Linked DNA regions of Callithrix jacchus. The protein of the gene in region 1 interacts with the protein of each later gene in a biochemical or structural test. Links are inferred from orthologs where the notes say so. Each region holds a gene or a part of one and is shown on either strand. Other genes may lie near its edges.

What was found.
Region 2: the proteins of TOR1A (region 1) and torsin-1A-interacting protein 2 form a complex in vitro, tested with the Homo sapiens proteins (4 studies listed by BioGRID and IntAct, with this or other methods). The link is inferred for Callithrix jacchus from reciprocal best matches to the Homo sapiens genes TOR1A and TOR1AIP2.
Region 3: the proteins of TOR1A (region 1) and TOR1AIP1 form a complex in vitro, tested with the Homo sapiens proteins (2 studies listed by BioGRID and IntAct). The link is inferred for Callithrix jacchus from reciprocal best matches to the Homo sapiens genes TOR1A and TOR1AIP1.

What each region holds. Positions count from the first base shown.
Region 1 is NC_133502.1:178,412,616-178,416,267, forward strand, and holds part of TOR1A (torsin-1A), read right to left. Parts: intron 1,561-3,652; coding exon 1,385-1,560; intron 1,288-1,384; coding exon 1,160-1,287; intron 1-1,159. UniProt on the Homo sapiens protein: Protein with chaperone functions important for the control of protein folding, processing, stability and localization as well as for the reduction of misfolded protein aggregates.
Region 2 is NC_133519.1:23,493,244-23,496,995, forward strand, and holds the start of torsin-1A-interacting protein 2, read left to right. Parts: upstream 1-964; 5' UTR 965-1,075; intron 1,076-1,394; 5' UTR 1,395-1,529; intron 1,530-3,752. UniProt on the Homo sapiens protein: Required for endoplasmic reticulum integrity. Regulates the distribution of TOR1A between the endoplasmic reticulum and the nuclear envelope as well as induces TOR1A, TOR1B and TOR3A ATPase activity.
Region 3 is NC_133519.1:23,476,342-23,479,993, forward strand, and holds part of TOR1AIP1 (torsin-1A-interacting protein 1), read right to left. Parts: intron 1,614-3,652; coding exon 1,572-1,613; intron 619-1,571; coding exon 532-618; intron 1-531. UniProt on the Homo sapiens protein: Required for nuclear membrane integrity. Induces TOR1A and TOR1B ATPase activity and is required for their location on the nuclear membrane. Binds to A- and B-type lamins. Possible role in membrane attachment and assembly of the nuclear lamina.

The DNA.
Region 1 (3,652 bases):
AAAATCACGTAGCTGAAGAAAATGGGGGAACTGACTGGGCGTGGTGGCTCACACCTATAATCCCAGCACTTTGAGAGGCCGAGATGGGCGGATTGGGCAGATAACCTGAGGTCCGGAATTCAAGACCAGCCTGGCTAACACGGTAAAACCACGTTTCTACTAAAAATACAAAAATTAGCCAGGTCTGGTGGCAGGCGCCTGTAATACCAGCTACTTAGGAGTCTGAGGTGGAAGAATCACTTGAACCTGGGAGGTGGAAGTTGCAGTGAGCTGAGACAGCACCACTGCACTCCAGCCTGGGCAACAAGAGCTAAACTCCATCTCAAAAAGAAAAAAAGGGAGGGGGGAACTAATCTTCAAGATCTCAACGACCAACAATTTTCCTCATTACTTAAAATAGCAGGCCAGGTGTGGTAGCCCATGCCTGTAATTCCAGCACTTTGGGAGGCTGAGGCAGGAGGATCACTTGAGTCCAGGAAGTCAAGACCAGCCTGGGCAACATAGGAAGACCCCATCTCTACAAAAAGAGACGGCGGCACAAGTCTGTGGTTCCACTTACGTGGGTGGCTGAGCCTAGGATGTCAAGACTCCAGTGAGCTGAGATCACACCATTGCACTCCAGCCTGAGTGACAGAACAAGATCCTGTCTCAAAAAATAAACTGGGCGCAGTGGCTCAAGCCTGTAATCCCAGCACTTTGGGAGGCCCAGGCAGGCAGATCACCTGAGGTCAAGAGTTCAAGACCAGCATGGCCAACATGACAAAATCCATTTCTACTAAAAATATAAATATTAGCCGGGCATGGTGGTGTGCACCTGCAATCCCAGCTAAAAGGGAGACTGAGGCACAAGAATTGCTCGAACACGGAAGCTGGAGGTTTCAGTGAGCCGAGATCTTGCCACTGCACTCCAGTCTGGGCAATAGTGAAACTGTCTCCAAAAAAATAAAAATAAAATAGCACTTTTCAAACATCAGTGTTCATTAAAGTTACCTGGAGTTTGTCAACAAAGATTCCCCTCGTGAGTTCTGACTCGGAAGGGGACTGAGAATCTACATTTCTACCCAGCTCCCAGGTGATGGTGATGGTGACCCTAACGCTTTCACAATTAGGGTGCAGGATTAGGAACCAGATGGGACTGGTGGTGGACAGCCCTACTCACTGTTTTTGTTATTGAAAACCGACACAGATAAGGCGTGTTCAATGTCTTTGAGCTTGATGTCTTCCCTCTGCTTTCCACTCCTCCAGAAATCTAAAGCCACATCTGTGATCCTTTCTGCTCCAGCATTGCTGCAAAACAGTTCCAGTGGGTAAGGACGGGGTTTTCTCCCAGAGCTCAGAGGCTCAGGCTCGAGGCCCGTCCCTCATGTCCTAGCCCGGACCTTACCTGAGAAATATAAAGATGGCTTTCTGGTAGGAGACCCCATCCACCAGGTCGTAGTAGTCAAGGAAAGGCTTGATGGCATCTATGAGACCTGCATGCATCTTATCCATTTCATCGAATATGAAGATGGACCTCGCACAGGCGCTCACGTTGCCTCGAATCCACAACTGTAACTGGTCCTGAAGTAGAAGGGGAAAAGCCAACACAAAGTTCTCAGCCAGGGCCATCGGGCACCTCCTTCTGCCACTGAGAGCCACAGCTTCACTTACAGACCACTGTGCCCTCAGCACCAAGAACTTCACACGTGCAAAATCTTCTCTGTTCCTAACATCCCCGTGGAGTGGGCACTCTCATACACATTTCACAGATGAGGGAACTGAGGCACAGAGAGAGCTTACTCCACTTGCCCGACTATAAAATGAGTATATGGCAGAGCTGGGACCTGAACCCAGTCCTGCCTGACGCCAAAGCCCAACACTTTGATTCCTGCACTGCAAGACACCACATGGATGCTGAGAGCTGCTGCTCTTTTGTCACCAAAGAGGTCATGTGGGATGTCAGGAGGATACTGATCTTTATTTTAAAAGGGGGCGGGGCTGGGCGTGGTGGCTCACACCTGTAATCCCAGCACTTTGGAAGGCTGAGGCAGGCAGATCAGTTGAGGTCAGGGGTTCGAGACCAGCCTGGCCAACATGGTAAAACCCCGTCTATTAAAAATACAAAAATTAGCTGGGCATGGTGGCAGACACCTGTAATCCCGGGTACTCCGGAGACTGTGGCTTGAGAATCGCTTGAACTCAGGAGGCAGAGGTTGTAGTGAGCTGAGATCGCCGCACTGCCACTCTAGTCTGGGTGACAGAGCAAGACTCCATCTCAAAAAATAAAAATAAAAAATAAATAAAATAAATAAGGATTCACCCAGACCTGTTAAGCTCCAGCAGCCAAGGTTTTCCTACTCTGGTGACCCAATTTATACGTGGTAATAGGAAACGTACTGAGCACTCACTATGGGCATGACAATATTCTAAGGACTGTTCATATATATATATATATATATATATTTTTTTTTTTTAAAGACAGGGTTTCACCATGTTGGTCAGGCTGGTCTTGAACTCTCGACCTCAGGTGATTTGCCCGCCTTGGCCTCCAAAGTGCTTGGATTACAGGTGTGAGCCACCACGCCTGGCCCATATATATATTTTTTGAGACAGAGTCTCACTCTGTTGCCCAGGCTGGAGTGCAGTGGTGTGGTCCTGGCTCACTGCAACCTCTGCCTCCCAGGTTCAAGTGATTCTCTTCCCTCAGCCTTCTGAGTAGCTGCGATTACAGGTAGCTGCCACCACACCCAAATAATTTTTATATTTTTGTAGAGACCGGGGGGGTGGCGGGTGGGTGTTCGCCATGTTGGCCAGGCTGGTCTTGAAATCTCGACCTCAAATGATCCCCCAGCCTTGGCCTCCCAAATTGCTGGAATTACATGCGTGAGCCACCATACCTGGCCTGTTCACAAAACATATTACTGTGACCTCCTAAAACCCATCATAGTAGTTATTGTTGTGTTCCTTTTACAAATCAGGAAACTGAGGCACAAACGAGTGAAGTAACTTGCCCAAAGACACAGTTATTCTTAGTGAAACCTCAGTTCTACCATGACCAACTCATCCTGATTTATCTAGAATGGTTCCTGTTTGTTTGGGACAGGGTCTCCCTCTGTCGCCCAGACCAGAGTGCAGTGGCTCTGTGCTCACTGCAGCCTCAACCTGCCAGTTTCAAGCCATCTTCCTGCCTCAGCTCCCCAAGTAAGTGGGACTACAGGTGCGTGCCACCAAGCCTGAATAGATTTTTTGTATTTTTTTAGTAGAGATGGGGTTTTACCATGTTGCCCAAGCTGGTCTAGAACTCCTGAGCTCAAGTTTCAGCTTCCCATAGTGCTAGAATTATAGGGGTGAGCCACCACATCCATAGAACGTTCCTGTTTTAGTACAGAACCACTAGACAGTGGGTGACCCACCTGCTTACCCAGACAGAGCCACTAGATAGTGGGTGACCCACCTGCTTACCCAGACAGAAGGGAAAAATGTATCTGGGCAGTGGCTCATGCCTGTAATCCCAGCACTTTCAGAGGCTGAGACAGGCGGATCACCTGAGGTTAGGAATGTGAGACCAGCCTGACCAATATGGAGAAACCTCATCTCTACTAAAAATACAAAATTAGCCGGGTGTGGTGGTGCATCCCAGCTACTCAGGAGGCTGAAGCAGGAGAATCACTAG
Region 2 (3,752 bases), on another chromosome or scaffold:
TAGTATTCTACTTTGTTGAATTAGAAATTGCAGTTAATTATTAAACAGCATCCAAGAGTGTTACCAAATCCTGTCACTTCTGCCAAAAGAGGATGATTGGAAAATGAAGGCATCAAAAGTCATATTACATGAGGAATTATTAATTCAATAAATACTTGAGGTACTATGTAGTAGGCAGTCCCTGTTCTCTGTGCTGGGGATACAGCTGTGTGCAAAATAGACTGAAAGAAAAAAAACGTTTTCTGTCTTCTTAGAGATTATATTCTATGGGAGGAGTCAAGCAAAAATCAAAATAAGTAAAATAGTGTGTTGGTCAGGACTGTTACAGAAAAAAAATGAGGAAAGGGGAAAGGAGTTTTACATGAGTAGATTTCTTCTGTGTTGTCTTGAATTGGCGTGGGTCAGGAATAGGAGTTTTAGACTTACTCGATTTTGCTCCCAACCAATTGTATGTTCTTGGGTAAGTTGCTCACCATCTCTTTATTTTCACATTTATAAAATTAATAGATCATAGCAATAGCTATTTTTTGTTACTGCTGTCATTTAGTAGACACGCTGCATACATCATCTAATTTACTCATAACAATCTTATGAAGTAAACAACGTCCCCATTTGACACACGAGCAAACAGATTAGATTAGGCAACTCTTTTTGAGGACATTCTCCTCTATTCGGTACTGGTTCTCACTGTGTTGGTCCTGAGTTAGGTCATATGGGTCAGGGTGGTCAGACGTCTTGCAGAGTTTCCTGCAATCCTGTCAGATAGCTTGAGAACTCGGGGATCTTTGAAGGTTGGTTGCACACATTTACCGTGCCTATCGCTGGGTAAGACGACCTGGCAGTAGAGGGCGAAGGATGGAGGAGAAGGCGGCAGAAGGCAGGGCACAGAGACTACTACTCCCAGAATTCCACGGGCTCCTTCCCGCGGAAAGTGTCGGTCATATGGGCGGGGACGCTGGACGACATTCGGGCCGCGGCGGCCGCTGGGTGCAGCCGGGCGGTGTGGAGTGGAAAGAGCACTCGAACGGCTCCCCTGATACTAACAGTTCTACGATTTAAAACCCCGCCAGAATTTGTAAGTAAACAAAATGACTGTACAACTTTTCTATGTTTTAGTATTGGAACTGATATACTGAATTTTTCAAAAGAGCTTTCAGAAACGGTCCCTCCCCACCCCCACCTCCCTACTGCCCAAACGATATTTTTATTTTTATTGTTTTTGAGACCGGTACTTGCCCTGTCACCCAGGCTAGAATACGGTGTCGCGATCATAGCTCACTGCAGCCCCGTTCTCCTGGGCTCAAGCGATCCTCCCGCCTCAGCCTCCCGAATAGCTGGGACTACAGGCCCGCAACACCATGCCCCGCTAATTACTTTATTTTTTATTTTTGTAGAGACAAGATCTCACTATATTGCCCAGGCTGGTCTCGAATGCCTGGCTTCAAGTGATTCTCCCGCCTCGGCCTCCCAAAGTGGTGAGATTACAGGCTTGAGCCACCACACCTGGCCTCACTTGAACAGTAAACGAGGTAGGTTGGGGTTATATTTTCGTTTCGGGATAAAAAGAAACAGAATCTTATAAATATTAAACGGGTTAAGATGTGAGTAAATTTTTAGCTTTAAACTTTAAGGTGAGAAGCAGAATTATTGTAGGGTTCGAAATGTAAGTGGGAAATTTTCCTACTAGTGTAGGCGGCGATTACTCCATGCCCGGCAGGCCTAGGATCTCAGCATTCATCAACTTAATCCTGAAAAGATAGTAATTAAAAAAAACATGGTGCTAAAAAGGACAAACTTGTAGTTTTATTAAGACCTCCTACCATTTTGCTTATATATTATGTATGTACCATACTCTCAGTTGTATTTCATACCGGATAAAAAAGTTTGCACCTTTTCCTTCTTTTAACAAAGTTCTTAGTACTCTCTACTTCATGAGTAATGCGTGATTATCAGACTTGATACTGTTACACAGATCCAGAAATGAAGTTACACAGATTAAACATATTGGTTTTGTTTTACCTGTCTTTAGTTTTTAAAACATTTTATTTTGGATCTGTTTGAAAGATCCTTTCTTTGTTTTAAGCTGTGGCAGCTATCCATGTTTTTTGAGTTTTATTTTTTCAGCACAAGATGAGTATAAAGGGGCCAGTGGAAACATTTAATAAAAAAAAAAAAAAGAACTCGAAGTAGAGTAACTATAGATGTTCTTGGAAGCCTTTGTGTGGATTAGAACAGTTTGAAAAACCAACATTTGCTGTGAGAACTGAGTGCCTCTCTTCAGTAATGTTTATTATGCTGAACGTGCAGTCCACAACTTGATTACCTGTTTTTCTGCAGGTTTATTACGTAACCTTGGGTGACTCATTTAAGCACTATTTTATCTAGTTTCTTTCTAATGTAGAGGTAATGTTAGCTTGAGAACTTCAATAATTAACAAAGAATTTAACTTCAGAATTTAGCCAATTATTTGAGGATTATTGGGTATTTTAATAATGCGTTGTATCTTGTATATAACTTATTTTTGCCTAAGAAGTCATTTCTGTATTCCATTCATTTCCATGAACTCAGAAGTCAAAACTGTATTCCAGGAAAATCCACACTTCTTTGAAGTGCTACTTGAATTTCCTGAAGGAAAGTTTGCTTCAAGAAGCCTTGTCTACTTTCTCACTTTGAGGTTGTTCACTAAGCCAACTATGAAGGCACATTAACCTGGAGGTTCTACAACCTCCAAAAAAAAATGGAAAGAATGAAGAATTGGCTGTTTTTATTTACCATTTAGAATTTTAATTGTGTTAAAGTTTCATTAATATTTCTGCATCATATGAACCACTGGATTAAACTGTGTCCCACAAGAAGGAATTTAGTAGGTGATCATACATTATCATAAATTTTGCACAGAAATCAAGCATTTGGGAATAAGAAAGGGCATCCCTAACATCAATAATGAGCATAGACTTTAGAGTCATAGCTGGATTTGAATTCCTGTTTTGTCACTGTGTGGGCTGTTTTCCTCTTTACTAATATTTAAAGGAGTTGGCACATGATTTTTTTGTGTGTGTGCCATGGCTCAGGTATGATCTGTGCACATAATTTTGGTAATTGAAATTTCTGGGAAGAAAATTTATCTGTAATTCTACTACCTCAACAAATCATATTGTTTTGGTTTTTAGAGATTTTTCCTTCAGCCCTTGACCATGAGTATATATCATGTAAATAAATGTAATGACATTTTTGCAAAAAGTCAAATTTTAAAACATTGGTTTCTTCTGGGGTTTTGTTTTAATTACACAAATGAAGCTGCCTGGTTTTGCCTTTAATAGTTCAAATAAGCCAGGTGTTATGTATGGCTCATTCCTGTAATCCCAGCACTTTGGGAGGCTGAGGTTGGTGGATCACTTGAGGTCAGAATTTGAGATCAGCCTGGCCAACATGGTGAAACTCCATCTCTACTAAAAATACAAAAAAGTTAGTTGGGTGTGGTGGTGGGGGCCTGTACTCCCAGCTTCTCGGCAGGCTTGAGGCACAAGAATCATTTGAACCTGGGAGGTGGAGGTTGCAGTGAGCTAAGATAGCACCATTGCACTCCAGTCTGTGCAACAGAGGGAGACCTTCTCAAAAACAAAAGAAAAAACAAAGAAAACCAAGGGCAGAGAAGGGGAGAGAGAGAAAAAAAAAACAACACCAAGTCAGAAGCTGGAGCAGTCATTTAGGCCTAGGCAGTCTGACCTTCGAGGACAGTTCTATGCGGGGTT
Region 3 (3,652 bases), on another chromosome or scaffold:
TATCTTTTTTGGGGAGAAGGGGTCTTGTTCAGCATTACCTTAAGCCTCAAACTGATATTTTTCTCTCTCTAGTCTTTAGTCAACTCTTTAATTGAATAAACTTAAATTAACATGAATAATCAGAACCTGTTAATTACTAACTTAGTTTGAATTTGAAAAATCCAGAGATAAAAACAGTTATTTAATTAAATAAAAACTTCCCAAAGTCACATTCCAGACAGTGTTGTCAGTCCCAATGGCAATGTGATTAGTTTCTCTATAAAATTCAAAAACAACAAATCACTCTTCTTGTGAGCACAAAAAATATCTTATTTTCCACAAATATCAAAAAAGCCAAAAGTGATCTGTTTAGAAAGCATGACATTATTAATCAGATGTATACATGAAATCAGTAGTTTTAAGAAATATTAAAAGTTCATGACTTTTTATAAAGTATTAATAAAAATTAGAAAGTTTTTTTAAAAAGCAAATTCATGGAATGCCAAAGATAGCTTCTACAAGAAAAGTCATATATGTATAAAGCAATGTTACCTCCAGATTTATCAGAATCCCTGGATCTGGTCTTAACAACAGTGACACTGCTATGAGAGCTGTCTTGATCATCTTCTTCAGTTTCTCCTAAAGAGAAGTAAACAATATACTAATAAAGTCTTATTTTAATGCTCAAAATATCTGAATTCAAAAAAACCAAACAAACAATTTAACATTAAAAGAAGGCTTTTAGGTTATCGGATACAGAACTGCTGTTTTTTATGCTTATTATTTTGAATCCCAAAGTTCCAAATGAACTAAAATTTAGCTCATTTAGTGTTCTCTGGGGCACATAACACTTTCCTAAATAAATATTCAGAGTAATATCTAAAACACTATATTCTAAGGTTTTAATGTAGAGTCAAAAATGAACAGATGAGCATTAAACAGTAGAAAAATTTTAATTTATGGGGAGAAAAACTACACATAATTAGTGTGTAGTTAAATTCAGATGTGTTTGTGCGTGTGTTTGTGGTAGAGGGGTATTTAAAATGAACCCAAATAGACAAAAGATGCTTAAAATGTAAGGCTGTTATCACTCATTCTATCTGTCCTATTTTATCTGCCCTGTTAACAGTTCAGATAAGCAATAATTTTTTTTCATGAAGAAAAATATATTATTTTCTGTTATCACTTTTTTTTTTAAGAGATGGCATCTCACTATGTTGCCCAGGCTGGAGTGCAGTGGCTACGCACAGGTGCAATCTTACTAATGATTATCACGGGAGTTTTGACCTGCTCCATTTCTGACCTGAGCGGATTCATCCCTCCTTAGCCAACATTGTGGTCCTCCGCTCCCTGGAAGTCACCATACTGATGCCAAACTTAGTGCAGACACCTGATCAGCATAGCACTCTATAGCCCAGAACTACTCCTGGACTCAAGTGATCCTCCTGCTTCAGCCTCCTTAGTAGCTGGGACTACAGGCACGTGCCACAGAGCCCAGCATTGCTCTCACTTCTTCAGTATCTGTCAAGATGGCTTCTAATATAAAAAAAAGACTTCAAATATATATTGTATGACATTTACAAATAAAATACCTTCTTCGGAGAAAATGACCTTCTGTTGGACACTGGTGGCTTCTAGAAGAAAAAAGCATACATCAAATATTAAATATATAACATCAAAAGCTAAAGCTCAGGAATAAACATAAGAGCATCTAGTTTAGGAAAATGGACATAATGACACATTAAAAAAATTCTTTTTCTGTTAAATCACTAAGAATCTATCATTTTCTTCTAGGCTGCTTTAGAAATAAGTCTGATATACACTAGAATAAGAAATGAAGTGTTTGGCCAGGCATGGTGGCTCATGCCTATAATCCCAGCACTTTGGGAGGCTTGAGGCAGGTGGATCACTTGAGGTCAGGAGTTCGAGACCAGCCTGGCCAACATGGTGAAACCCTGTCTCTACTAAAAATACAAAAATCAGCCAGGTGTGGTGGCGCATGCCTATAATCCCAGCTACTCGGGAGGCTGAGGCAGGAGAATGGTTTGAACTTGGGAAGCAGAGGTTGCAGTTGAGATCGCACCACTGCACTCCAGCCTGTGCAAAAGAGCAAGACTCCATCTCAACAACAAAAAAGACATGAAGTGTTTAATTTTCCTTCACTCACAGGTATATTTTTACTCTAAAATGTAACCTTTACATATGAAGAAAACATTAAATTCTACATTGACAAATATTCTAGTGTGTATAAGTTTACTATGTTCTCATTCTCTGACTTGCCAAATCCCCTATACTCTCTTCAAAAACAGACTACAGGCCGGGCGCCATGACTCACGCCTGTAATCCCAGCACTTTGGGAGGCCGGGACAGGTGGATCACAAGGTCAAGAGGTCAAGACCAGCCAGCCTGGCCAAGATGGTGAAATCCTGTCTCTACTAAAAATACAAAAAAATTAGCCGGGTGTGGTGGCAGGCACCAGCTCCTCAGTTGAGGCAGAGAATTGCTTGAACCAGGGAGGTGGAGGTTGCAGTGAGCTGAGATTGTGCCACTGCACTCCAGCCTGGGTGACAAAGCGAGACTCTGTCTCAAAAAAAAAATAAAAATAAAAAATAAAAATAACTGACTTCACTAACTGGACTGATGAACCAGTTCTTTAGGGCAGTGGTGTACCCAATGAGGAAGAAAGGTAAAGAAACTTCTAGTTCTGGCGGGTCCATGTTCATCACTGTTTTCCAGAGCAACAGAACTTGAAAAAAAATAAACAAGCAAAACATATCAAATAAACACAGTATTTTTACATGGGCTATTCCGAAACATTAAAAAAAAAAAAAAAAAAGCAAGATGTACCCAAATGCAGGTATTGCATACTTGGGTTAAAATATTACTGAAGGATCATACATGGAGAAGTAACATGATTTAGAATTCTTCAACAAAGCTGAAAAAATTTGTTTCTTTTCAGCTTTCATCTTTACTGATCTTAACCTCAATTTGTGTACTAAAAAGGACAATATTACAGAAACACATTATATGGTGAATTTGAAAATATTTCTTTCAAATCCATTTAATAAGATTAGTAGAATACTCGTCAACATTTGAGATCCACTGAAAATACTCCCTCTTGATAGTGGCAAGTGTAACTCAGTATCTGAAATATATATGCTAACTTTTTTTTTTGAGATGGAGTCTCGTTCTGTCGACAGGCTGGAGTGGAGCGATCTTGACTCACTGCAATCTCTGCCTCCAGGGTTCAAATGATTCCTCTGCCTCAGCCTTCTGAGTAGCTGAGACTACAGGCACTCACCACCATGCCCAGCTAATTTTTTGTATTTTAGTGGAGTCAGGGTTTCACCATATTGGCCAGGATAGTCTTGATCTCCTGACCTTATGATTCGCCCTGCCTTGGCCTCCCAAAGTTCTGGGATTACAGGCGTGAACCACTAGACTGGCCACCAACATTTTTTTATTAAAAAAACAAAACAAAAACTAACACAGAGAAAACTGTTCATGACACTATGTGACTCTTAAAGAGCTAGACTCTGGTCCTGGTGCGGTAGCTCACGCCTGTAATCCCAACACTTTGGGAGGCTGAGGCGGGCGGATCACAAGGTCAAAAGATTGAGACCATCTTGGCCAACATAGTAAAATCGTGTCTCTACTAAAAATACAAAAATTA